4 linked regions of the Caenorhabditis elegans genome follow. The protein of the gene in region 2 interacts with the protein of the main gene of each other region in a pairwise test. Each region holds a gene or a part of one and is shown on either strand. Other genes may lie near its edges. The genes, in order: mel-11, wrm-1, nurf-1 and C39D10.7.

What was found.
Region 1: the proteins of wrm-1 (region 2) and mel-11 interact in a two-hybrid assay, tested with the Caenorhabditis elegans proteins (one large-scale study listed by BioGRID).
Region 3: the proteins of wrm-1 (region 2) and nurf-1 interact in a two-hybrid assay, tested with the Caenorhabditis elegans proteins (one large-scale study listed by BioGRID).
Region 4: the proteins of wrm-1 (region 2) and C39D10.7 interact in a two-hybrid assay, tested with the Caenorhabditis elegans proteins (one large-scale study listed by BioGRID).

Annotation. Positions count from the first base shown.
Region 1 is NC_003280.10:9,356,885-9,361,565, reverse strand, and holds the start of mel-11 (cGMP-dependent protein kinase interacting domain-containing protein), read right to left. Parts: upstream 3,036-4,681; 5' UTR 3,033-3,035; coding exon 2,952-3,032; intron 1,642-2,951; coding exon 1,441-1,641; intron 877-1,440; coding exon 322-876; intron 1-321.
Region 2 is NC_003281.10:5,721,095-5,727,655, forward strand, and holds wrm-1 (Armadillo repeat-containing protein wrm-1), read left to right. Parts: upstream 1-1,755; 5' UTR 1,756-1,788; coding exon 1,789-1,813; intron 1,814-1,864; coding exon 1,865-1,972; intron 1,973-2,515; coding exon 2,516-2,688; intron 2,689-2,745; coding exon 2,746-3,129; intron 3,130-3,318; coding exon 3,319-4,198; intron 4,199-4,247; coding exon 4,248-4,594; intron 4,595-4,646; coding exon 4,647-4,813; intron 4,814-4,869; coding exon 4,870-5,072; intron 5,073-5,552; coding exon 5,553-5,656; 3' UTR 5,657-6,021; downstream 6,022-6,561. UniProt on the Caenorhabditis elegans protein: Antagonistic role in the Wnt signaling pathway that operates in embryogenesis. When located at the cortex it has been shown to inhibit Wnt signaling during asymmetric cell division but when relocated to the nucleus it shows positive regulation.
Region 3 is NC_003280.10:14,388,998-14,393,736, reverse strand, and holds the start of nurf-1 (DDT domain-containing protein), read right to left. Parts: upstream 3,024-4,739; 5' UTR 3,018-3,023; coding exon 2,725-3,017; intron 2,054-2,724; coding exon 1,397-2,053; intron 1,299-1,396; coding exon 1,214-1,298; intron 1,154-1,213; coding exon 891-1,153; intron 1-890. Other genes in the region: kbp-3 (Kinetochore-binding protein 3), read left to right, coding at 3,672-3,825, 3,881-4,009, 4,053-4,146, 4,412-4,439. UniProt on the Caenorhabditis elegans protein: Histone-binding component of a NURF-like (nucleosome remodeling factor-like) complex, which would catalyze ATP-dependent nucleosome sliding and facilitate transcription of chromatin. Involved in vulval cell fates.
Region 4 is NC_003284.9:7,907,917-7,915,919, forward strand, and holds C39D10.7 (Chitin-binding type-2 domain-containing protein), read right to left. Parts: upstream 6,015-8,003; coding exon 5,868-6,014; intron 4,860-5,867; coding exon 4,726-4,859; intron 4,671-4,725; coding exon 4,566-4,670; intron 4,513-4,565; coding exon 4,343-4,512; intron 4,298-4,342; coding exon 4,114-4,297; intron 4,043-4,113; coding exon 3,620-4,042; intron 3,443-3,619; coding exon 3,197-3,442; intron 3,151-3,196; coding exon 2,890-3,150; intron 2,249-2,889; coding exon 1,227-2,248; intron 1,173-1,226; coding exon 1,079-1,172; intron 975-1,078; coding exon 860-974; intron 815-859; coding exon 705-814; intron 659-704; coding exon 562-658; intron 514-561; coding exon 106-513; 3' UTR 50-105; downstream 1-49.

The sequences.
Region 1 (4,681 bases), on a different chromosome or scaffold from region 2:
AGTTTGTACATTTTTTCAGTAAATAATATTTTTTATCTTTGAAAAAACATATTTTGGTATGACAAATGTTTTTAAATTCAGTTTTGTTGTCGTTTTTCTTTGATAGGACTTCCATGTCGGCGTCGAAACGCCTGCCTGGCTTAATTAAGGCGACCTCTGCCTTCCTCATTTATTTTTTAAATTTGATTTTCATCGAATTGAAATTCGAAGATAAGAAATTTGAAAATTCACGCCAGAATACAGAAAATAGGCGAGTGGCTGGTAGGTTTCAAGCAGGCGCCAGGTCTTGAAAACCGCAACAGAAAAACTGTAAACCCCTACCGTAAACGTTAGATCCGATAATTCCGCTCCATTTTCCAATAATATTTTACATGCATCTCGTTCAGCCCAATGTGCAGCCGCATGCAACGGAGTCCATCCTTCGACATCCTGTGCCCGTACATTTCCACCCGCTTTGATAAGTAATTCGAGTAATTGTGTGTATCCTCGCCCAGCAGCTACATGCATTGCAGTTCCACCTGTTCTGTGGTGAGGAATATCTCGATATTCTCCCTGACTCATCCACATATTCACATCTTTCAACATTGTCTGAAGTTCTTGATCTCTACAAGCATCGAGATCAATCATTTGTCGCTTGTAATCATCGTCAAGATAATCACGACATTGTTCATCTACTGCAAGATCAAGTGCTAACTCTTTATCACTATTAACTATTGAGAGATCGGCTCCATGTTGACACAAATATCTGACTATTGCCACATTTCCACAACATGCAGCTGCGTGAAGAGGTGTCCATCCTTCATTATCTTGTGCATTCACATCGGCTCCTTTTTCACAAAGAAATCGAACCATTTCGGGTTTTGAATCAATTACCGACTGAAAATATTCAATTTCGAATGTTTTGTTTATGCAATATTTCAATTTTTCAATGTTCTATCCATATGCAAAACGTTGCGATTTGTTTCAAAAGTACGGTCTCGAAGCACCAAATTTAAAATATTGTGCGCCTTAAAGGAGTACTGTAGCTGTTTTTAAAGAACTTTTTTTTTACGAAAAATGTGTTTTTTAAGGATTCAAAAAGAATTTTTTTAAAATTTATTTTTGAACTTTTATTTCCAGAAAAAGTTAAGGTTGTTTTCTAAAATAAATTCCAAATTAAATTCGTTTTGTTTTTATCAATTTCATTTTTTTTTGTAATTTCGTTGCTCCAGCCCTGCTCTCTGTTGTTGCAGGATTTTCCTCGATGTTTCATACGTTTTCAAACGTTTGTTTAACTTTTATTGAAAAACATGTGCAATTTTGAAGAAACTGTAGAAAAACTACAGTACTCCTTTAGGTTCACCTCGAGACCGGGTATCGTATTTTTTTAAACAAAATTCACGAAACTTCACATATGGACGATACAAGTACCAAATTGTCAATAATAAATGCAAATCTCACCTGATGCAATGCGGTCAACCCGTCAACTGTACAAGTATTAATATTGGCACCCTTGTTCAACAGTTCTTCAACTTCTTCTTCATCTCCAGACATACATGCCGACAGAAAAATATCACTGTCTTGAAATTGTACTTTTGGACGTTTCGTTCGCCGAGCTGCTTCTGCGTTCATCTCGCTGCTCTGCCAACGGCGCAATTGATCCTGAAAATTTAAAAATTACAAATAAATGGTTTTTTTTGTTTAAAAAATATTAAATTTATTGAATGTTTAAACTTCGAACCCTCGGCGTAAAAAAGAGTAAAAGTTGGCACACGCCGAGAGAGCTCACAAATTGTGTTTGCACCTGTTTGCACAATTGATTAACAAGTATAAACGACTGGATTTCGGTCGTGATTGTCGTTTTTTTTTTGTTCACTAAATACCTACTGGTTTGTAATTTTTTTTAGAAATTAATTTTTGAATGATCAAGAGAAAAAGTTTCAAAGCAAATGGAAAAAAATAAAACGAATAATCGTCCGATTAGAATGAGTCAAAACTTGACACTGATAAGAAAAAAGTTCAACCGGAAGCCTGTGGAAACTATCAAAAAAAGATCAAAAAACGTTCTCTTTTGGTGGTTTTTTTTCCGGAGAAGAGACGAAAGAGACGTCGTCGTCGTCGCCGTCGTCGTGTCCCTGTGCCCGCTGACTCACTTTTATTGTCAATGTGTTTGTATGGAAAATGGCAGGAAAAATGGAGAACGGGGGTGGAGGAGGAAACATGGAAAATGAAGGAAGAACGACGGTTCAGACAAAAAATCATAGAGAGCAAGGTGTTTTCAGAAACTTTCTCTAGAATAATTTTAAATTTCTCAAATTTTTAATTCGAAAAAAAAAACTACAAAAAAACTGAACAAGCTTCAAACTGGAAAATTAAGCAGATGAAATTTTTTAAAGATTTTCACGTCAAAAAACGGGTCCCCGGTCTCGAAACGATTCATTTATGTTTAATGCAAAAAGGCTTGCGCCTTTAAAGAGTACTGTAATTTCAACCTACTATTGTTGTGAAATTCCATGATTTTTTTAACGTTTTTCGTTTTTGAAAATATATTAATTTACTGAACAAAAAAAGACAACTATGAAAACTATGGAAAAAAAAATGAAAATTCCTTTTTGAAAGTTACAGTAACCTTTAAAGGTGCATAACTTTTCGCATTTAACAGAAATCTTTCGTGTCGAGACCGGGTACCGTACTTTTGGCGCAAAAACCGAAGAAAGTCGGCCAAAAATTTGATATTTAAAGTTCGAAGATCACTTTTAACAAAAATGAAATTTCAAACTGATTTTTAATTTATAATGTTGAAATTTAAATATAAATTTAGACAATTTCTTCAATTTAAACGAAGAAAATTTTAGTTTTATTTTACTATTTTAATTTGTGATAAACGAGGTTTTTACCAAATTTTTTTTCGCAAAAATTACAGATTTATTTTTTTGTTGAATTTTGTTTTCAAACTTTTGAAAAAAGCTCACCTTTCTCTTATTCACAACATTAAAAGTGATTTGCTGCTTTGCTTGCAGCATATGCGCATCGTCCTCGTCATCTTGACCCATTCTGCAAAATATGAAATTTTTTTAGTAAAAAATGTTGTTGTTTGAGATAGGTTCAATCAGAAAAGCAAAGAACGATGAGAAAAGTGATACAAATGACGTTCGTTTCATTGATACAATAATGGGTAGAAATTCCAAAAAATATATAAAGTATTTTGTAAAAATATTATGGTTTTGGAAACGAGAAAAAATAGATCAAACGATGAAGCTTGGGAAAAATGACTCGTATTCACACACAGACACCCACAAGAAATGACCAGTTTAGCGTGTGACTGAAACCGGAGACTTATTCCGCGTATTCGACCACCTCCAAGTCAATTACTCTTCATATCCCACCACCACTACTTTAACGTTCACTCATTTCCCGGTTCATCCTTCTTTTGAAATATGAGACCACAACTATTCGATTAATCTTTTGACTAAAGTTTCATAGCTTTTGCGTATAAATCTTGGAATGTGAATACCCGAATTTTCGAAATCTGCCGGTTTTTCGGTTTTCCGAAATACCAAAAAATCAAAAAATTTACGGGTTTTTCTAAAAAAAAAAATCTAAAAAATGCAACGTTCTTGTTAAATAAAAAACCAAAAATCGAAAAATCGAATACCGTATATAATTATAAAACACTTATAAATGGTTCTAAATTTTTTTTAATTTTGCAACAAAAATGTGCAATTTGAATTTTTTGGCAAAACTGAAAAAAAAAATTTCAAACTTCAAATTTATAAATAATTTAAAACCATTTTTAAATATATATATTCGTTCATTAGGACCAATTTTCAATAATTTTAAGCAAACTATCCATGGACTCCGCCATTAAAAATATATCCTTAAGGATATATAAATATAATACTAATCAATACAACTCCCACTCATCCATTGAAAAGTGCGGCAAGTGGGTGAAAATAGTGAGGCAGTGAAGATCAGAAAAGGCTTAGAGAATTAGATAAAGTGATGTGATAAAGGTGGTTTTGGATTGTGGATACACCGGAGAACAAATATTATGAAATTGGGCACTATTTCCGGTGCAATTTGTTTTCTAAAAATATTGGTGTAAAATATCTATGTTCAAAAATTTTATAAAATGAAATATTTAGAGTTTCCAAAGTTTCTAAAAAAAGTTTGCGGTGAGTCATTGAAGACTAACTAAACAAATTTGGAAAAATAATTGAAAAAGGCAAGGCATTTCTGTAAAAAACGCTTAAAATTTTTGAAAATTGCCAATCAATGTTTATATTTCAAAAGAAATGTTATATTTTTGGAAAGAAACATTTCTTTTTTTTTTGCAATCAATGTTAATATAAAACATTGGCTATGGCATTTAAATTAAAAATTCATTGTTTAAAAAATCTAGGTTCAATGTTCAGAAAATGAGAAATTAAAAAACAATTTTCGAGTAACGGACACATTGAACTAATTCCAGAGAAAAAATGGAACAGTGCCCCCGGGATTAGGGGCGACAAGTCGATGGATAGGTCGTTCTCTCTCTCTCTATTTTCAACGATATAGACAGAAAGAGAGAATTAGTGATTCGAGACGCAGATACACCATCATCCAAGAGAAAGAGACCGGGAGGGACGTACTTGAAACTTTCCGCCTGCACGCGGCGTGTCTGCGTCTATTAAACACCGCTCAATATATTTCGACTCTCTCG
Region 2 (6,561 bases):
TTTATTTGCCAATTTTTTTTTGGTTTTTCTGCAAAATTTTCGACTATTTCTCTGCCTTTAATTTCCATTGAAAATTCCTGTATTTTTCGTAAATTTTTTGCCAAATTATGTTTTAAATTTCTCAAATTTGTACCCGAATTCACAGGAATCATTTAGAACACGATTTGTCGATATTGAAACAAAAAACTCAAAGTTAGTTGATTTTCAACAACACGAATAAGCTGAAAATTTCCGATTTATCAACATAAATCATGTGAAAAATGCAATTTTTGACTTGAACCCTACTTTTAGAGGTGAAAATTGAGGAATTTTGCAGATTTTCGGCCAGAAATAGTGAAATATCAGTTTTTTTTGTTAAAACTGAAATTTAGCAGAATTTCAAAAAGAAAAAAAAAACAGGTTTTGCATTTCACAAAAAAATGTTAAATTCTCTAAAATTGATTTTTCCTCGCCGCTGCTCTTGATTCTTCCAATTTCCGGTTCATTTTCAATTCCCCTAAATCCGGCTTTCATTTTTTCTTTTCCTTCTTCTCATCCTCACGCCTCACTTGATATCCTCAAAGTCATAGATTCAAATGTTTCTTCGTCACATTTTTGTCTCCGATGACACGCCTGATGATTTAATAATGTGGTCAAATTGATTGATTACTAGTTGGTTGTTGTCTCTTTCTCTACGAGTCGTGTACACACTGATTCCCTTCAGCCTGAGCAGGTGCATATTATCCATTCGCCAATGCTTCTCCTTTTTTTCGAGCTAACTCGCAAGGTTTTGATTAAAATTTAAATAAAAAACTTTAATCCCAAATCCAGAAATTTTCACATAAAACATTTGTGTGGCCTTTCGAAGTAAACTTCCTGCTCAACGGCATCACATTTTCTTTGATTTATTCACTAGATTAACTTTCAGTATTGAAAGCTTCAATCGAATTCAAAATGTATTGATTCGCGGCGCGGAGGTTTCTAGGCCACCGGCTGTGTACTCCTCTCGGACGGGCGATGCCATTCTTCTTATCAGTTTAAATCTTTTTTTCATCGCAAAACTTACTGATAAACTTTGTGAGTTACGTATTTAATAGGAATAATTTTCTCTCCGCTATTTTCGGATTAAATTTCCCCGAAACATTTTGCAACTGGCCGTTCGTCCTGCTGTTTGAACAGCATTCAAGTGTTGACCCCCCACAGAGTATATACCCATATGAACTGATTTATTGGTTACCCCCGATCGTTTTGCATTTATTATCCATTCACCAATGTTTCAGAAATTCAAAATTTTCTACAAGTGGCTGACTATTCGAAAAAAAAAAATAGAATAAGGTGTCAAAAAGTCTGTCAATATTGAAAAAAGCTCAGTGTCCACTTGAGTATGTTTGACTTGGAAGGTGTGAATAGCAGTTGCTCGAAAGACAATAGGAAAGGGGTTTTGTACTTTTGCACAGCATTCTGAGTTATTTTCTAAAATGAAAAAAATTATTTTTTAAACTTTTCTGTAAATTATATTAAAATTGAGAAAAAAACTATTGCTTTGATTCAAAAAACTCATAAATTAAACAATTTTTAAAATATTTTCTAGTTGCTGCAAGAATTAGATACAATTCTCACAAATCCAAAAGTTCGTAATTCTTTTAACTTCTCTTGAAACTTCTTCATTTTTTTGTGAAATCTCCACACACATCCGATTACTTTCCTTTATTCCCCTCATCAATGGCGTTTTCTCAGGTTCTCACATCGAAATTTCTCATTTTAGCTTAGTTTCAGGTTCCTCAACGGACCTGCAACCACCCATCTGAAATGGATGTGGATTGCGCAGAAACATGTAGGTTCCCCCTTGAAATAATAATTATTAAAAAAATCAATAAAATTTCAGTCTCGCAACCATGCACTCCGCTGAATTTCAATCCGATGACTCCGTCAACATCGAGAGTTTCAACACCAGTTCGGCCGTCTTCTACAATGTCTGCCAGACAATATTCAGGTGAGAAAGATATGAAATTTTGGCTTTACTTCGAAAAAAAGATTAAAAGCGGCCAATTTATGCTTAAGATTTTTAATATTCGGAAAAGAATTATTGTAATCTGAGAATTACTTTCATTTAAGCTGGAATAATTGAAAAGTGCTCCGAAAATTGTCTGAAAGTTGAGAATTGCCCGACAAAATTTTCGACAAATCATCGAAAATTTTTTTCAATTTCTCAAACTGAAACAAAAGTTATCTTCAGATAAAGCAAATATTATTTTCTACTGAAAACATGCCACACTGGCTCAATTACCGCGTACCCCTGATCTAGAATGATTGAATAAAAACTCGTTTGCATAACAATTAATCCAAGAATTTCCTGGTCGATAACATATTCCAAAAGGCCATTTCGCGCCCTTTTCTCTCTCGACCCTCTCCAATCACATCACCTTATCACTTCCCCCATTCCATTTTCGTATGTCTCGTGTGTCTATGTGTTCCCCATTGGAAACTTCCCTCAAATTACATACCTCTTTTCACATATTCATATTTCATTTTTCAGGTTCGCCGTTCAAGGCTCAACCTCAGAACATGGAACCGTCCAATTCTCGGGTGCAAGAACTCCGGGAAGCTGCTGTGGGAAAGCGATCATACACAAATGCTTGGATGCAGGGTACCTATGCACCGCCGCAGATGGCAGGACAACAACAAAGGTTTTCGAGGCCTCCGAGTGTGGTAAGAGATTTTTATAAGAATTCCGCGGCTTGAACAGATAATAAAATCAAATTTCAGATCGGCTCCACAATGTCTCACATGACGAATATGTCAGAAATGACCGCCTACTCGTACGGTGGATTGTCAATGCTCTCAGTCAACACTGAAATGGGTGAATTCAACAATTTTGTCAATCAGGCACCATATCAGCGAGCACTGACACGTGTATCGCAGGTTTCCGAGAATCAGGATCCGACGAATCGACAGTATCCGATGACAGCTCCCGAGATTATTGAGAATCTGGAATCAACGGAACTAATCAATCAAGCAGCAGCGATTCGAGCTTTGGAGCCAATTGTGAAAGCTGGTGGAATGTTGCAAACCTGGGGACCTAAAGGAGCCGAACCGATTATTCGAGCTCTGTTTCAAGTTCTTATTCCTCGGCCAGTTGAGAATGAGAATGTAAGTTTTGCATAAATGTTCGTTGAAGGTTTTCATGGTAGGTAGGAACATCGTCATCCCTAAGTGGATGCCTACAGCCTAATATTGTTTAAAAATCTAAAATCTAAATCTAAAAAAATCTTTCAAAAAAAAAAAAAAATATATATAGATGTATTAAAATATCGTTTGACAACTCCATATTTTTTGTAGGTAATCCGGAAAGCGTTTGAAATTCTCCACCACTCAATTCTTCTCTCCAACAAGGAAATCCGACGTATCGACAGGATGTTCTTCCGACTGAATGCGGCATTAATGGATCCCAATGGGCCGCCTGTGTTCAATGTACCAAAGCCATACAGTATCTATGAGATCGTGATGACACGTGCCATTCAACTTGACACGAAATTCGAGTCCAGTGCTATGGTTCTGCTCGTACATCTTTGTTGTAAACCTCATTTCATGAAGATTTTCTTTGGAGAAGATGAGACTCAACAGTCACCAGCACATCGACGTCTTCACAAAATAGTAATTGAATTTGCAATTGGAAACCTGAGAAGACCGGAAACGAAGTCAAAGAATAAGGGACTTTGTGTATCGATTATTAAGAATTTGTCGAATAAAAATGCAACTATCAAAGATATGTCAGAACGTCTTGGTGTTGTGAGCCTCTTTCATCAAATTATGCAGAACGAAGTGATCCACGAGGATTTGTTGTGGTCAACGATGCAGGCTCTTACCGTATTCTGTGGAGATGTTAAGAATGGAACACATTTTGTGCAAATGGGTGGAGCACAAGTTTTGTGCGGTCTTCTTTCGCATGGATCAACACGACTTCTTCACGAACTTCTGAAGTGTTTGAGACGAGTATCAGATTTGCCAGCGATCCAGGAGCAGGATATGAAAGAATCGATTCATTGTATAGTTCAACTTATTGGATGTTCGGATGTAACGATTGTTGAGCTAGCGACTGGAACTCTACGAAATATTGGACTTCATAACAAGATGAACAAGGCATTTATGGTGCAGGATGGAGTTACAAGTCATGCGATCGCAGTTCTTCGGACATCTGAACAGTTTACATATCAGCCACGTTAGTTTTGAAATATTCAATCTGAAATTCTAATTTACTTATTTTTCAGATGCCAATATAGATTTATATAGAAAGCAGATTCTGTCGATTTATGAAAATTGTCTATCCGTATTGAACAATGTGACTTCTATGGCACCTCAAGATATCAAAGAATCTGCAGTATCAGCGTGTAGAATGATCAGTGAGAATGCCGACTCCGCATATGTGCTCCTTCATTACTTTAACGTTGGAAATCGGAAGTGCAGGAAACTTGCGGTGACAGTAATGAAACGTGTCATTGAGACGGTTCCTGCTTTTGCTGATCCGTTTGTTGATCTACTTGGAACAACAAATGAGCCACTACCAATTTTATTGCTTCAAAGAGCATTCCAGAGTTTGGACGAATGGCGGAAAACTGTAAGCTATAAATTAAATTCGTAGAAACAAATAAATTATAATTGATTTTCAGAGCGTTGAAATGATGAATTGTGACGGTAGAAGTGCTGAGCAGAGAAGAGAATTAGATGACAGACGAAAAGATCACGAAGATATTGTAAAACGATCTGTGGGACTTTTAACGAATCTTTGTAGTCAGGCAAATCCAAGATTTTTCCACAGTTTGAAGCTAGTATTGACGTAAGTTTTTTACACTGAAAATCACAATTGAAATAATTAATTTCATTTTATTCCAGAAATGGCACGCTAAACCCCTTCCAATGGCTGACACATGAGATGAGTGACGGTATTCTGCAAGAGTGGCTAGCATTCATTTTGTCAATTTGTAGTCGTGACGAGTCACTGCAAACTTTTATGATGTACAGATTCCTGGAACAGGCAAAAATGACTGAAGCATTCTTTGCGGAACTCAAGGCTCGTCGGCAGAATTCGAATATTCGTGAGTTTTTAACTTCTGAAGAAACTAACAAAAAATACGAATTTTTAAAATACACAAACGCGAAATTTTTCAATTTTGCGCCAAGAATTACGGTAACTTTTTGTTGAATGCAAATATGTGCTTTCATAAATAGTTTTTTTTGTAAAAAATATACGTTTCAATTGAAATATTTGGGGGTTTTGTGAATTATTATTTATGAAAACCTATGAACAATCTATGAAAATTCAGCAGAAACTAAAATTTCATAATGCAGGACTTTTAAAGGCGCACACCATTTTGCATTTAACAAAAGCTTGTCGTGTCGAGACCGGGTACTGTATTTTTGGCGCAAAATTTAGCTACTTCCAGAACATTAAAAGCCTCTTCATTTCTATCACTGCGATAAAAAAAATTACAACCGTGTTTAGAAATTTTATAAATTCTGAAATATGAAATTTTTTATTCCCATAATTCCCTTTTACAATTCACGATCTATTTCAGAAACTATGTTGTCAAAGATCATCGATCTTGGTAGACATCAGCAGAGAATAGTTTCACAACAACATCAACAGCATCAAATGCAGCATCATCGACAACTAATGTGAATGAATCTTTGTGCGGGTACAGAATTCCCTACTCCCGGTGCACAGACACACAATCTCAATCAAATCGATCTTCCAGTTTTATTCATGTGCTATTATATATTTATCTTCATTCCATCCCCATGTTCCCTTATGTAGTTTCACATCAAATACCCACTTCATTTCGTTGTTCTCATTATCAGTATTTGGAGCATATCACTCCCCAATCTAATTAGTTTTTTCCCATCTATCCGTATTATTTGTTGCTCACTTCATTTCTCCAACCATCTCTCAATTATCTCATGTTCTATTACAAGTGCGAACTCTTTTCGACAATTTGATAACGGGCCCTTTTTTTTCGTCTATCGTGTATATGAATTATTTATTAGACTTTAATCTAGAAGACACAAGAAGATTCATCTAGAAGACACAAGAAGACGGACAAAAATTATGATGTAAATCAGAGAAGAGATCAGATATGAGATGAAGGAAGCAATGCGCCAAGCACGATCACCACCAGTTTCAACTGTGTGCACACCATTCGAAAACGTGTAGCAGTGCGCAAAGATGGCGCCAGTCTGAAAAATTGTAAAATTTTGTTACTTTTTTAGAGGATCGCTGGATACCCAAAATAAGATCTGAAGCAGGAAGTGGGCAAAGACGGAAAATGTATTCGGGGCACAAATGATGAACAGGGATAAGCCGACAAGAAGAAACTGAAATATTGAAAAAAAATTGCCACGTGTCACATACATACAGGCGGTCTCACTTCAAAGACATACCACCACGGCTACGAATTTTTGACAAGCAAAATGTGCAGGGTCAGAATGGCACAATGAATGAGTGCCATCATGATGAACCACACATAAACTGGCATACAGAAGCATGGATCTTGCGCAGTGGCTCCTAGCTCAGATCCCGATTGAGCT
Region 3 (4,739 bases), on a different chromosome or scaffold from region 2:
TCGGCATTTTGGGGAGTTGTTTTGCATATTTTTGATTATTTCTTTTTATTTACAAACATAATTGAATTATTGGGTCATTCTTGGTACGAAAGTTCATATTTTTTGATGAATTTCTGCTAAAAATAAGAGGTTTTGTGACTAACAACTAGTATTCTCTAATTGAAAATTGCCGTTTGAAGATTAATGCTGCAGTCTCCAGTAATACTGCAGTCTCTAATAGTGCTGCATTCAAGAAGGGTAGGAAAATTAGTGCTACATGCAGCACTAATAGAGAATATACGATAACTGTTAAAAAATTATAACATTTTTCTAATTTTTTTATGATTTTTTTTATTTTGAAAAAAAGGGCTGAATTATTTTTGTATTCCCGTGCGTAATGAGTGACGGCATTTCTTCCAGCTGTTTTAATTGGAGTTTCTTTATTTTTTCTTTGTTTTATAATTTGAAAATTTTGAACGTCAATTTTTCAGACACTTTTTTTCCGTAAAAAAACCTTTTAAAAATATCATATTATTTAGGCAAATTTTAGGCAAATTTTAGAATACTTATTCAAACATTAAATTGATGTGCCAAAAAAATTAAAGTTTGTCTAAAAATCGATAATTTGGCCTCTAAAAGTGTTCTGTCCGGAAAATGTCTGAAAAATCTACAAATATTAAAACAAAGAAAAAATGAAGAAAAACTAATCAAAACATCCGAAAAAGACGTCACTTATTTGCGCGACAATTCAAAAATAATTGAGCCCTTTTTATTTTTTCAAAATTGAAACAAATCATTAAAAAATTTAGAAAAATGTTATAATTTTTTACAGTTATATTTGGTATATAGGCACGATATTCTATCATTCAGGTAAAAAAAGCACAGACGCTACTCCACTTTAAAAAACTTACACAACAAGACGTCGAACAATGAACCAATAATATCGTCCATATCTATCCCTTCCGATTGGTTGAGATCTTAACGGTTCCCGGTCGACAGCTTCATCCGGCGGCAGTACACCACGAACTGCTGAATTCTTTTTACATATATTGCATACAAGAACCTCAGGAAATGGCTTCAGATGACTGCATTCCACGTGGAAAGCGGCTTCGCATTGAGTGCAACCTACTACACGTCCTGACGATTTACCGCAAACTCGGCAGTTTTCGTCGTTCTGAAAAAAAAAACATTTGAATTTCTTTCAGTTAAATTTTTTATATAACGAGAGTTTTACCTGGAATTTTCCAACATTATTCACAAGTTTCTTAAATTCCGACGAATATAAGAAACGGTAGCTCATGAAGAGAAGGACGACGAGTCTGAAAACATGCTTAATATTAAAAAAAAAACTAAAGTCTCTTTGTATACTGCGATTTTATTTAAAAAAAAAAGGATTTTTCTTAAAATTGAATCTTACTTTGCATCATATCCCACAAACGGATAATTATCGACATTAATAGCATCTCTAACAGACGCATCAGCAAACGGGTACGCCTCAATATATTGTCGTAGAATTTCAGCGTAGGTCAGTGTATCCATATGGTGAATCATTATATTTACAGAATTGTTCGTCTCGGTCACCGAGTAGTGCGTCTGCTCTTCATCGTCGGATTTCAGACAATTACGAAGCAAAGCCATATGGACTTCTGCCATAATACATGAGTTGTTGTGCGATATTAGTGCCGCGCAAAAGTCCTCAAAAGTGAAGGGTGTGATGCGGAGAGTTCGATGATAAGATCGGAGAATCTCGTAAATTTCAACAGCATCCATTATACTAGCCGTTGGAATCGGAATATCCTGACTAGATTCTGGTAGTTCGAGTTTTGGTAGACTTGCAGGATCTTCATCCAACCACGGACAATACTTGTTCTCCTCGTCGAGACCTTTTTCGATTTTAATATCTGTTAAATTCAACTCTTCCTCTTCCTCCTGAACAACCTGATCCTCATTTAGCATGAACTCATCGTCCGAAGATTCTTCTTCTTCTTCAGAATCCTCATCCATGTAGATAATGTCTTCTTCTTGGCGTTTTAGCGATTTGCGACGTGGTGGAGTTGGATTTTTTTTGGGTCGGCTGAAAATTGATGGAATTTATTTTTAATCTGAACAGGCAGATTTATATAGCTTCTAAATATTCTTAATTTTGCAAAATTGGGATTTTTCAGAAAAATTCCCAATTTTTTGGAAAAAAAATCCATGATTGTGAAAAAAAAATCTCAATTTTTGAGTAAAATTCCATTTTTCTGAAAACAAAATTTAATTTTTTTGCGGAACACTTTATTTTTGTTTTTCTTGATTATGCAAATTGTAGCCTCGTTTTCAGGCGTTTTTCCGCAAAACTATCATAAAAAGAATTTTGAATTTTCGATTTCTGAAAAAATGAGAAAAAATCAAGAAAACCCGAAAAATTGGCCGGAGAACGCAAGCATAGTTCCTTCGGAATTTGAATATTTGCAAAAATTCGAAACATTTTGCAGTTGTATTCGGTATTACCCAGGCGCGAAAATATGATCTCGAAACGACAAATTTTTGTACATCGCAAATGGGTTTGCATAGTTTTTCTTTAAATCTAAATAATTTGTTGTGAACGACGTGAAAAAGCGTATTATACGTTTTTTCGATTGAAAATTTGACGAAAGCGGAAATATCCTAAGAATTTGCGTTAAAACTTGAAAAAAGCATTTAATTGAAAATTATCTGAAATCAGCGGAATTTCTGAAATTATTTTTCTTCTTGATTTCTCACCCTCTAGCCTTCGAGGTACTCTTTGGTGCTGGTGTTGACGCAGGTGTAGATCTAACCGAGATCTCTTCAATCTTCACCTCCACCTCCTCGGCGTCTGATGGTGTTTCCCGTTGAGCCGCACGTTTTTTTGTTGGCGGTGGACTGTAACCGTCGTCAAAATAACGTTTCGGAAGTCGACTGCGGCGTGGACGAGATGATGATGTGGATTCTGATGGGTCTTCTGAATCGGCAATTGAAGAATTTCCGGATTCAGACGGATGCTTTCGCTTTGAACGGCCACGTGGTGGAGCCATCTGAAAAAATTTCGAAACTTTTCGAAAATCGATAAGCTTAAGAATGTTCGTCAAAAAATATTGAAAGCCTCGAAAGGAATAAATTTAAAATCAAATTAGAACACTGGTAATTGTGAAAAAGAGCTTGAAATCCAAGAAAAAAAGATTTTACGTCATCATATGGTCTTTGGAGGAAAATCAATAAAATTTGCGAGAAATGACAATCGGAATATAACATTATTAGATAAAAATACATTAAAAAAGGATCCAGGATTGGTAAACTACAGTACGAAATCTTAATTTTTGAAGCTGAAAAAATCGATAATGGGATAAAACTCATTTTCCAGCGGAAAATCGGCTTTTCTCAAGTGGAAACATAAAAAACAATGGGAAAAAAGGAAAAATAATAATTTTCCGAAATTTTCCTTCACTTTTCCGTCTAAATAATCAGTTTGGACACTTTTTTGAACGCGCCGCGCCGTAAATCGACTCAGTGCGAGAGGCACACCCTAAAGGCGCACACATTTATTTGCAATGGTCGCGACGAGACCTTGGCCCTCTTGACGCGGGAATTTGAGTTGGAATTTATCTTTGCTAATTTTGCTGTCGCATTTTTATTTATTTATCTTAGTTTTTAACCGATTTTCATTGAATTTTTGCAGGTTTTTCGGCAAAATGGAGTCACTCAACGAGTATATGGACAAGATTATTAATCGTCTTAAGGCAGTCAATGAGAAAGACGAATTAGTTGATGAAGGAATGCGGAAACTCCAAAAATGCCAGGAAAAAATTATGAAAACGAGAATCGATGCTCAAAAACATATCGATGGTAAATTTGCAAGGAAATTGTTTAGATGTGTGCATAAAACAAAACATTTGTTCAGAACGCCACGAGCAACAGTCATTCGAACAACAGCTACTGAACAAAAATATGTTTGAAACTGAGCAACTGGAAGAAAAACTAAAAAGATTGGACGATGAGAACAAAATTGGAAATGAGCGGGAATTTAACAGTAAGCTGATAGTCTTTGAAACAATTTATCTGATTTACTCCAGAAAAATTGGAAGCAATATCTGCGAAGTGGACGGATGACGTCAATCTCTTGAAAACCACGCCGAATGAGCCTAACGATGGGAATAGAAAGAAATTGTAAGGGATTTAATTAAAAATAAGTTTTGTGAAGAAACTGCTCAAAAGTTTTTAAAATCTGGACTAAAATCTTCAGTTTTGCCTACTTTACTGTGTGGCTGGCAGCAGTCGGAACTTAATGTTTATTTAATTATTATTATGCGGGCGGCACTGAAGAGCGGTAAAAATTTTGATATTTCACCACCAGACTCGTTTATATAGGTCCATTTTAAAGCTATTTAACCAAAAAATCCTTCTTTATAAACTAAACGTGTATTTTTTTCAGATCGAACCTCTCCAACATCTTGGTCTAACTCTGGTTTTCATCCACGTATCAATTATGCCTTCTTTTCATGTATATTAAATCATTTCATTTATTATATTGTTATCATCATCACATTTCAATAGTTTCCAATTGTTCCGTAGAAGGTATTAGGGAAACTCTTCTCTCTTCCGTTCGAGGAAAATTTGTTCAAAAGTTCCCAGGTGTTAGCGGAAGATTGTGGATTTTCTTGTGATGTCGTGGTTTCTACAGGAGCCGGTCTCACTCTTGCCAGGGATTCTTCAGAAGAAGAGGATGATGATGAGGAAGACGAGGACGACGACGAAGAAGA
Region 4 (8,003 bases), on a different chromosome or scaffold from region 2:
TTGCTGTCCCAATTTAAATGTTTAATGCTTCAAAACTCTTTTTTTCTAAATATAATAATTCATTGAAAACTCAAAAAAGACGTAAGGCAAAAATAAGTGTATATATTAATATGACTTATACGCAGAACTTGTAGTTGGGGCCACATATGAAGCTGTAGTAGTTGTGGTTGCATCTTGTGCTTCAGTGGTTGTCTCGTACGGTTTGTGAGTAGTGGTGGTTGGAGTCTCTACATCGCGAGAGGGAGTTGTTGCTGGTTCTTCATACTGTGTAGCGGTGGTGGTATATGCAGCTTTGTAGAGAACCTTTCCAGTAGTCGTTGTTTGAGGTTGATACGGGGCTGCAGTCGTGGTTGGAGCTGGCTGCTCAAATCTTTTGGTGGTGTAAGTTGTGTAACTAGATGTGACTTCAGCAACTGGAGGTATGTAATCATTGCCACAGTCCTTATTGGTGCTCTTATAATTACAAGTTTGCGTGTCCCCATTGTACACCAATGGAGCAATACAAGTTCCAGACTGAAAAGCATATATTATTTTTGAATGTATATATTTTAATAAACTCACAAAGGCTCTTCCGTTGTCACAGACAATGTAATGTGGGGAGCACATTTTGAGGTGGTGGAGTCCGTTAGATCTGATCGTGCAGAAATCACTTGGCACTCTGAAAGTAAATGTTTCATCAGAGCAGTAACATGACAAAATCTTACGCTGGAGGTGTTCTGTCTAGAGTGGTTGCAATTGAGCATTCCTTTGCGTCAATTGGGAATACACACTTTTCGGATTCCTTGGAGAATTTGAGACTGTTCGGGCAGCTCATCTAAAAAATTTTGCGAAATACTGAACAACATTAATCGGAACATACCTTACGAATCTGTTCATCAATGCAGGAAAAGTAATATGAGGAGCACCCAGCAGAGTAATAACCATCTGATTTTCCAAAACAAGCATTCGAATCGATTATGTCAGATCCTTTGCCGCTAAAATTATTAAAATGAAAGTTGAAAGTTCTTTAAAAAACTAAGTTCATTAGGTACGATTACATTAATCCACCACATCAAATTCAGTACTCCGATATGCTTACATTTTGCATGTATCCACGGTGTGTTTGTAAGCACACATTCCATTCTTTTCGTTGTAAAAAAGTCCGGGGGCACATGAGGAAATAAGTGAACGACCTGCAATTAATAATTGCTTACTTTCAGATAACTTGTGATTTTGCACAGTCTAACCTTGCATGCATTGAACGTAGTCTTGTGAGCAGTACGGAAGAGCATAGATTCCATCAGGACGTCCGGAGCAGGAGAACGCCTTTGCCAACGGTGTGGTGTCTACTGGTCCTGGAGTTGTGGAGGTGTAATCAATGTTTGGGTAGTTGTAAGTTGTATATTTTGTCGTGCCTGGTTGCTCTGCTGCTGGTGTTGTAGAAGGAGTTGGCTTGTATTCTGGGCAATCTTCGACATGCTCCTTGTAGTCACATCGATTGTTCAATTTGCTGTAAAACAATCCTGCGGGGCAACGATTAATTGTAGTCTCAAAGTTGTTGCACGAGATGTAATAGTCCTCACAATCAAGACCGTAGTTTCCATTTTCGAGTCTTTCACAGAAAGCAGCATGCTGTGGCGATGGAGTGGTCACGGATGGATTGTACGCTTTGGTGGTGCTTTGAGAGTATCCATAGTTTTGATATGAAATGACTGGTTGCTCGGCAGCTGGTGTTGCGTCTGTAGTTGGTTTGTACTCTGGACATCCCTCCACATTTTCCTTCACGTCACATTTATCTTGTAGACGACTGTAGTACAATCCTGACGGGCAAGGGAACTTGAATGTTTTACGATTGTAGCATTTGATCAAGTATTTTTCGCAGTCAAATCCATAGTTTCCATCATCACGTTTTGCACACATTGCAGCGTATTTTGGGGATAGAGTTGTTGTGAAGATTGTTGATGTGTATTGTGGTGCGTACCCTGGAGTAACCGGAGTATATTCAATTGGAGCATATCCTTGGGTGGTACTTGGTTGTTCATATGGTTTGCTGGTAGTTTTAGGGTAGGAGTATGATGGAGTGGTGGTTGGTTGGTACCCTTGACAATCTCGGACATTCGTACTGTAATCACATTCTCCGACATATGGATTGAAGATCAGATTTGCTGGACATGTAGTTGCAACGACTTGTCCGTTTGCGCAAATGTAGAATACGCTCTTGCAGAGACCAGAGGCATGGTTTCCATCAGCGAGGTGTTTGCAGGAAAAGCTGGAAAGTATAATTATAACTGGAACACTTTTGACAAAAATGTTGTAAGCTCTTAGGGGGAATTTTTGTTTGAAATAGATTAAAATGGTTTCCGCTGCTTAACCTAAAACATTAATTGAAAAACCTTTAAAAAAATTTTCCTTGAAATTATACAATATACTTCTTACTTTTAAATTGGATAAAATTCGTAATTGAACAATATCTCAAATTTTTTGCCGCTTTTTTAAATCAGATTTCAGCTATTTGCATAATCTCAGATAGTCTCAAATTATTTGAAAAAAATAAACTAGAACATTAAAAATAACACAGCTGTGTCTTTACACATTAGAAGTTTTCCAACTAAAGGAACGCAATTTTTGTCGGAAACTGTCTGATTGAGAAAATTTCTAAAAACTTTCATTCAGTTTCCAAGATGTTTGTTAAATTTCAAATACCTCCAATAGCATTTTTGTGACAGACACTGTCATTGAAGATATTTTATGAATCTAATTCCTTGAAAAAACTGGAAAAAGTTAGATGTCTATTTCAGGAACTCCCAATTGAGTAAAATTGAGTAAAAATTGAGTAAAAAAAAGCTGCTAAAATTTTTATAGTGATCTAGTCCAAAGAGGGAGTTTTTTCCTTGAAATTAAAAAACTCACTCGTCCAAAGCAATTGTAGTTGTGACTGGAGCCTGAGTAGTGTATGTAGCTTTTGGTTGTTCATATCCAACAGTGGTCGGAGCCTTGGTGTAAATTGGACGTCCGTAAATCGTTGATGGCCGTTCAGTGTCTCTTGGTGGCTGTGTGTACGGCTTTGTTGCTGGTTGTTCAGTGGTTGTGTACACTACGGACGACGAGTATCCAATTGTAGTAGTTGGAGTGTCTTCACCTTTGTAAATTTGAGATGGTTCCATGTAGTTTCTGAAATTTTGATTTTATAACTTTTCAAACAATTTGAGATTGGTACTTTTCACAGTTTTCAGCAAAATCACAGGTGCCAGTAGCTTTGTTAAAGACTAGATCGCCAGGACAGTCATTCGCAAAAGCTCTTCCATCGTGACAAGTGAAGAAGCTTTTGGTGCATGCTTCCTTGATGTACTTTCCGTTTGGTTTTCCGGTACAGTCAAAGTCTACTTTCACTTCAGCTGGTCTCTCGTTATAGGCTCCTCCGTGATTGTAAAGAACAGGTACATCTTCTGGTTTTCGTGGCTCTCTAAATTTTGTTTTTAGATTTGACTTATTTATATCATATTTATGAGAAGATTATTACGAAAGTAAATCAACTTCCGATTCAGATTTTTTCTTGAGTAAACCTTATGACAGGGAAACTGACAAAAACTCCAAACCTATACAGTAACAAATTTCAATTTGAAATGAATATTCAACTTACAGACAAATTGCTGCGAATTCGCAAGCTGACACTCTTGTGTCGAATACAAGATTATCCGCGCATTGAATAACCCGACCAACTCCGTTGTCACAACTCAAAAATGATGCGTGGCACTCTTTGATTCCAAAGATTCCGTCTCTATTTTTGCAATCTCCGTGTACTGCTGGATTGTATCTGACTGTTGAAGAGAAGACAGGTGAAGGTGTAGCTTCAGTTGGAACATATGGGGCAGCAGTTGGATTTTGTGGTGGTGGATTTGGTGGAGCTGCTGATGTCGAGCGTGGGACGTAGGTTGTTCTTGGTGGGGAATAGACTGGCGCGGAAGCTGGAGCATATGGGGTTGGATCCACTGGAGCTTCAGCAATTGACCCATAAGAAGAAGAAGAAGTAGTGGTTTTTGGTGCTCTATACGAAGTTTCGGAGCTGAAATAAATTACCCAAAAGTAAGTTTTGTTAAGTTTTCTTCATTTACACAACAAATTTGATCAACTCACCCGTTATATTCTGGACAATCTTTCACAGACTCTGGAAAGTCACACAGGTTTTGGTCCAAAACGTAGATTAGCTTTTCTGGACAAGTTTTTCTGAACAGCTTTCCATTCGAACACTGCCAGAAATATGGGGAACACTTCACGTTATCAGTGAAATGCATGTCTCCAGTAACTTTACAGTCCAATCCTTAAATAAACATTTTTAATGATAATAATACTAGTAAGGCCGAACCATTGTGCCCATTTTCAAATTCTTTGGTAGTGACGATGTAGTTATCCGAATCATATGTTGGTGAAGCATAGGCAGCAGCTGCTTGATCTTTAACTCCTCCAGAAGCATTACAGTTGGTGTGGTAATCGCATCGCTTGAGAATTGGAACGTATACTTGCTGGTATGGACACCTTCAAATTGATTATGTGTTTTCTTTAATAAGTTTTCTGCACTTGAAACTAACTTTCTCATGTAAGATATTCCATTTGCACACTGATAATAGTTTTCATTACACACAGTCTTGTCCAGTGCATAATCCCCACTAAGTCTGCCCACACAATTTATCGAACTGAAATTTTTCAATTAAAATATTTCAGAAAAAATAATTTTCCAATAAAACTCACACGGCCTTTTGGCGGACATTGAGTGTTACACGATCACCTGTGGCACAGAGATGGTTGCTAGAACGACGCTCACAACGTGCTAATAAGCGGTCAAAATAAAGACCCTCTGGGCATGACTGCTCATATTCAACATTCTGAAAATTATATAAAAAATTTTAATTAAATTCAGATTTATGGTTTAAACATTCCCTTACAATAGTTTTCCATTACTTTGAAGTGGTCTCAAAAGAAATAAGAAAAGAAAATAAATATTTGTTTCATTAAAAAATGGTATCAGCTAGAGATGCGTATGGGTCGTAATGGGTCGACTCGCCTATTTCACAGTTATTCTTTTTTTTCTCACAATGGCTCGCTTTTTGTCGCTTTTTTTTCATTTTCAAAGTATCATGAAAATTTTCGAGCTAAAAAAATTTGGTATTATCTTTAAAATTCGAAAATTTGAATTGCAAATTTTTATGACTGTTCTATTGCAAAATATGTGACGTGAAAGGTACAAATATTGCAAATCGTTATAGTATATTTTTTAAAGATGTAAGTTGAAAAATTTAATGTCTGACTTTGGCATGAAATAGTATTTTTTCGATAAAATAATGAAAATAATGATCCCTCCAAAAAATTTAGCTGCCCCGATCCAGGTTCAGCAAAGTTATGACGTTTTGAAAGTGACTAAAACACCTTTTTACAAAATTTCAAAATTTTCAAAAAAAAAACATTTTTTTCTAAAAAGAGGAAAAAATGTTTGCAAGTTGTTTTAGCTCACAACTCTCAAGAAAACCCACAAACTAATCTACCAGAAAAAGTACTTTTTGGAATTTTGCTCAAGGTATGTGGTTTTTTGTCCGTGGTGAGAAAAAACGTGTATGATATATGCTTTTCACTGTTTTGGATAAGTTAAAACAGTTTTTATCGATTTTCAGAAAACAATTTTTTTTTTTGAAATTTTAAAAGTTTTTTTTTTGGTAGGTCAAGAAATTTTTTCGGCACTTTCAAAACATCATAACTTTGCTAAACCTGGACCGGGGCAGCTAAATTTTTTGGAGGGATCATTATTATCACTCTTTTATCGAAAAAATACTATGTCATGCCAAAGTCAGACATTAAGTTTATCGACTTCCCTTGTAAAGCTCCAAAAGAAAACTCACGTTGACACACTGAAGATACTTTGAGCTGCAACCAACAGCATAAAGCCCGTCACCATCCGGGCATGGTGGTCCTTTCGGGTTCAGAACATTTTTGGCGTCCGCCGAGATGAGGATGACAGCCGCCGCAAATATTGAAAGCTGTCGCATCTAAAAAATAAAAAGAAAATTGCGAGAAGAAAATTTGAAAGAAATGTGAATGATTGTTTATCTGAAACACAATGCTTTTATATTGTCAATCTGTTCTGTCTTGGATGGTGGGCGGATTTTGTTCTGCTCTTATTGATAAAAAGCTAGAAAACCTGTAGATTGGAATTCAGATATTGATCAAAAGCCCAATCCATCAGATATTTATTAATAAATAAAAGAATATCAAGCACTAAAAAAGAAAAATGAATCAACGAAACATTCACATTCTTTTCTTTGCAAGTATAGTGTTCAATCTAGAAAGAATAAGTACCTCGAAAACTGAGATCTTATTTTATTTTCGTTTTTCCTTATGACAATCTCTAAGTTTACCGGGTGACCCGGAATGAACGAATTGACGTATCCAGTCAATAGTAATTACGAGATTATTGACTGTTTACCACAAGAAAACACGACTTGCAAATCGTGCAAAAGTTCGGACAGCCTTGGAAACGGATGATGTTCGATGCGCATGTGTTTTTGTAGAAAAAAAACGGATTAGAAAGATATTTCCGGAAACTATAGTATTTTTCTGGCATTGTCAAAATTAACCTGGTTGTAGAATAATTATATCTTCTTAAAAAGTACCTTATCGACGAAACAACATGAGATTTACAAACGAAATATTCAATAAAGTAGCGAATATAATTATAATTAATTGCTGAACATGTTCTGGGTAAGTTTTTTTTGAATCTCTAATATAACGATTAAAAACTGAATTTAACATAAAATCGTTTGTAGCCAAAAAGAGTAAATGTGAAATAGTAGTAACACAAATAATGTTTCAACCGTAATTTTCCTTCATAGTTTAACATGTTTCACTTAAAATTTTATTTTAACTATTTTTATTTACATTGTTAAATATCGCAACCAGTTAATTATCACGAGTGTTTATTCCAGGTTATTTAATTAGTCACACTAATCAATTTGAAACATACAATTTTAAAATAATCAATCTGCATTATTCAATTCGCATACCCTTCTCGAAACAGTTCTGACGTAGTGACCTCTTCGAGCCTCACCATTGCTCTTCTCGATCCCGCCCACAGTTGATATCTCTTATCATTTGAATCTTCCGGCAGCATTTGTCCTGGAAGAAAAATGTTCATTTCCTGATGGGAAAATTTTCAAGCGAGAACAACTATTGCACAATCTGTGATATTCTAACATTTTCCGCATTGCTGTCAAAAATGATATCACTTATAAGAAGTATGAGTATACATGAAATCATTAATTCCATTCCAGGTGAGATGGAAGTTGAAACAGAATTAGAAATTAAAGAAACGTTATATATTTGGAAATTATTCATAGTCTTGTTACAATTAAAAATTAAAAAAAACTGTCTGTTTTCTAGACTACAATAAAAGAAAATGAGACTTTTTTTCGAAAAATAAAAAAGTTTGAAAATACATTCAATTTGTTAATGTATGAAAACGTATTTGAAACTGCTTTACTAAATTCAATAGGGTATTTATTTCAGCTAAAAATTCAATATATAACCTCAACTAGTGTCAAAAATATGTCTTAAAAAATGTTTCTTAAAAAAAACAACTTCCATCCAGTTTCTCTTCGAATTTTTCAATTCATTTTATAAATTTATTCAACTTTAATTGTTAAGTTTGTAATATAGAATTATACATCTACAGTTATTTTTACTTTAAAACGTTCATTGTCGTGCCGAAATGACAACTCAATATTATTGGATTATCAACCATCTTAGAATATCTTAAATGATATAATATAAGCATATTCTACCAAACATCCAGCGTAATTATCATTCCTGTACGTTTGACCCCTTCCAATTGGTAGAAGACAGGTCACACCATGTGGTATTACTTTCCAGCTGCTGCTGACGTCATGTTTGCTACGTCACGGGCCACGTAAGTAACCCAGGCCGCACAAGAATAAATATACTTGCATCATTTTGCACCAATTGAGAAATTGCTCCGATAA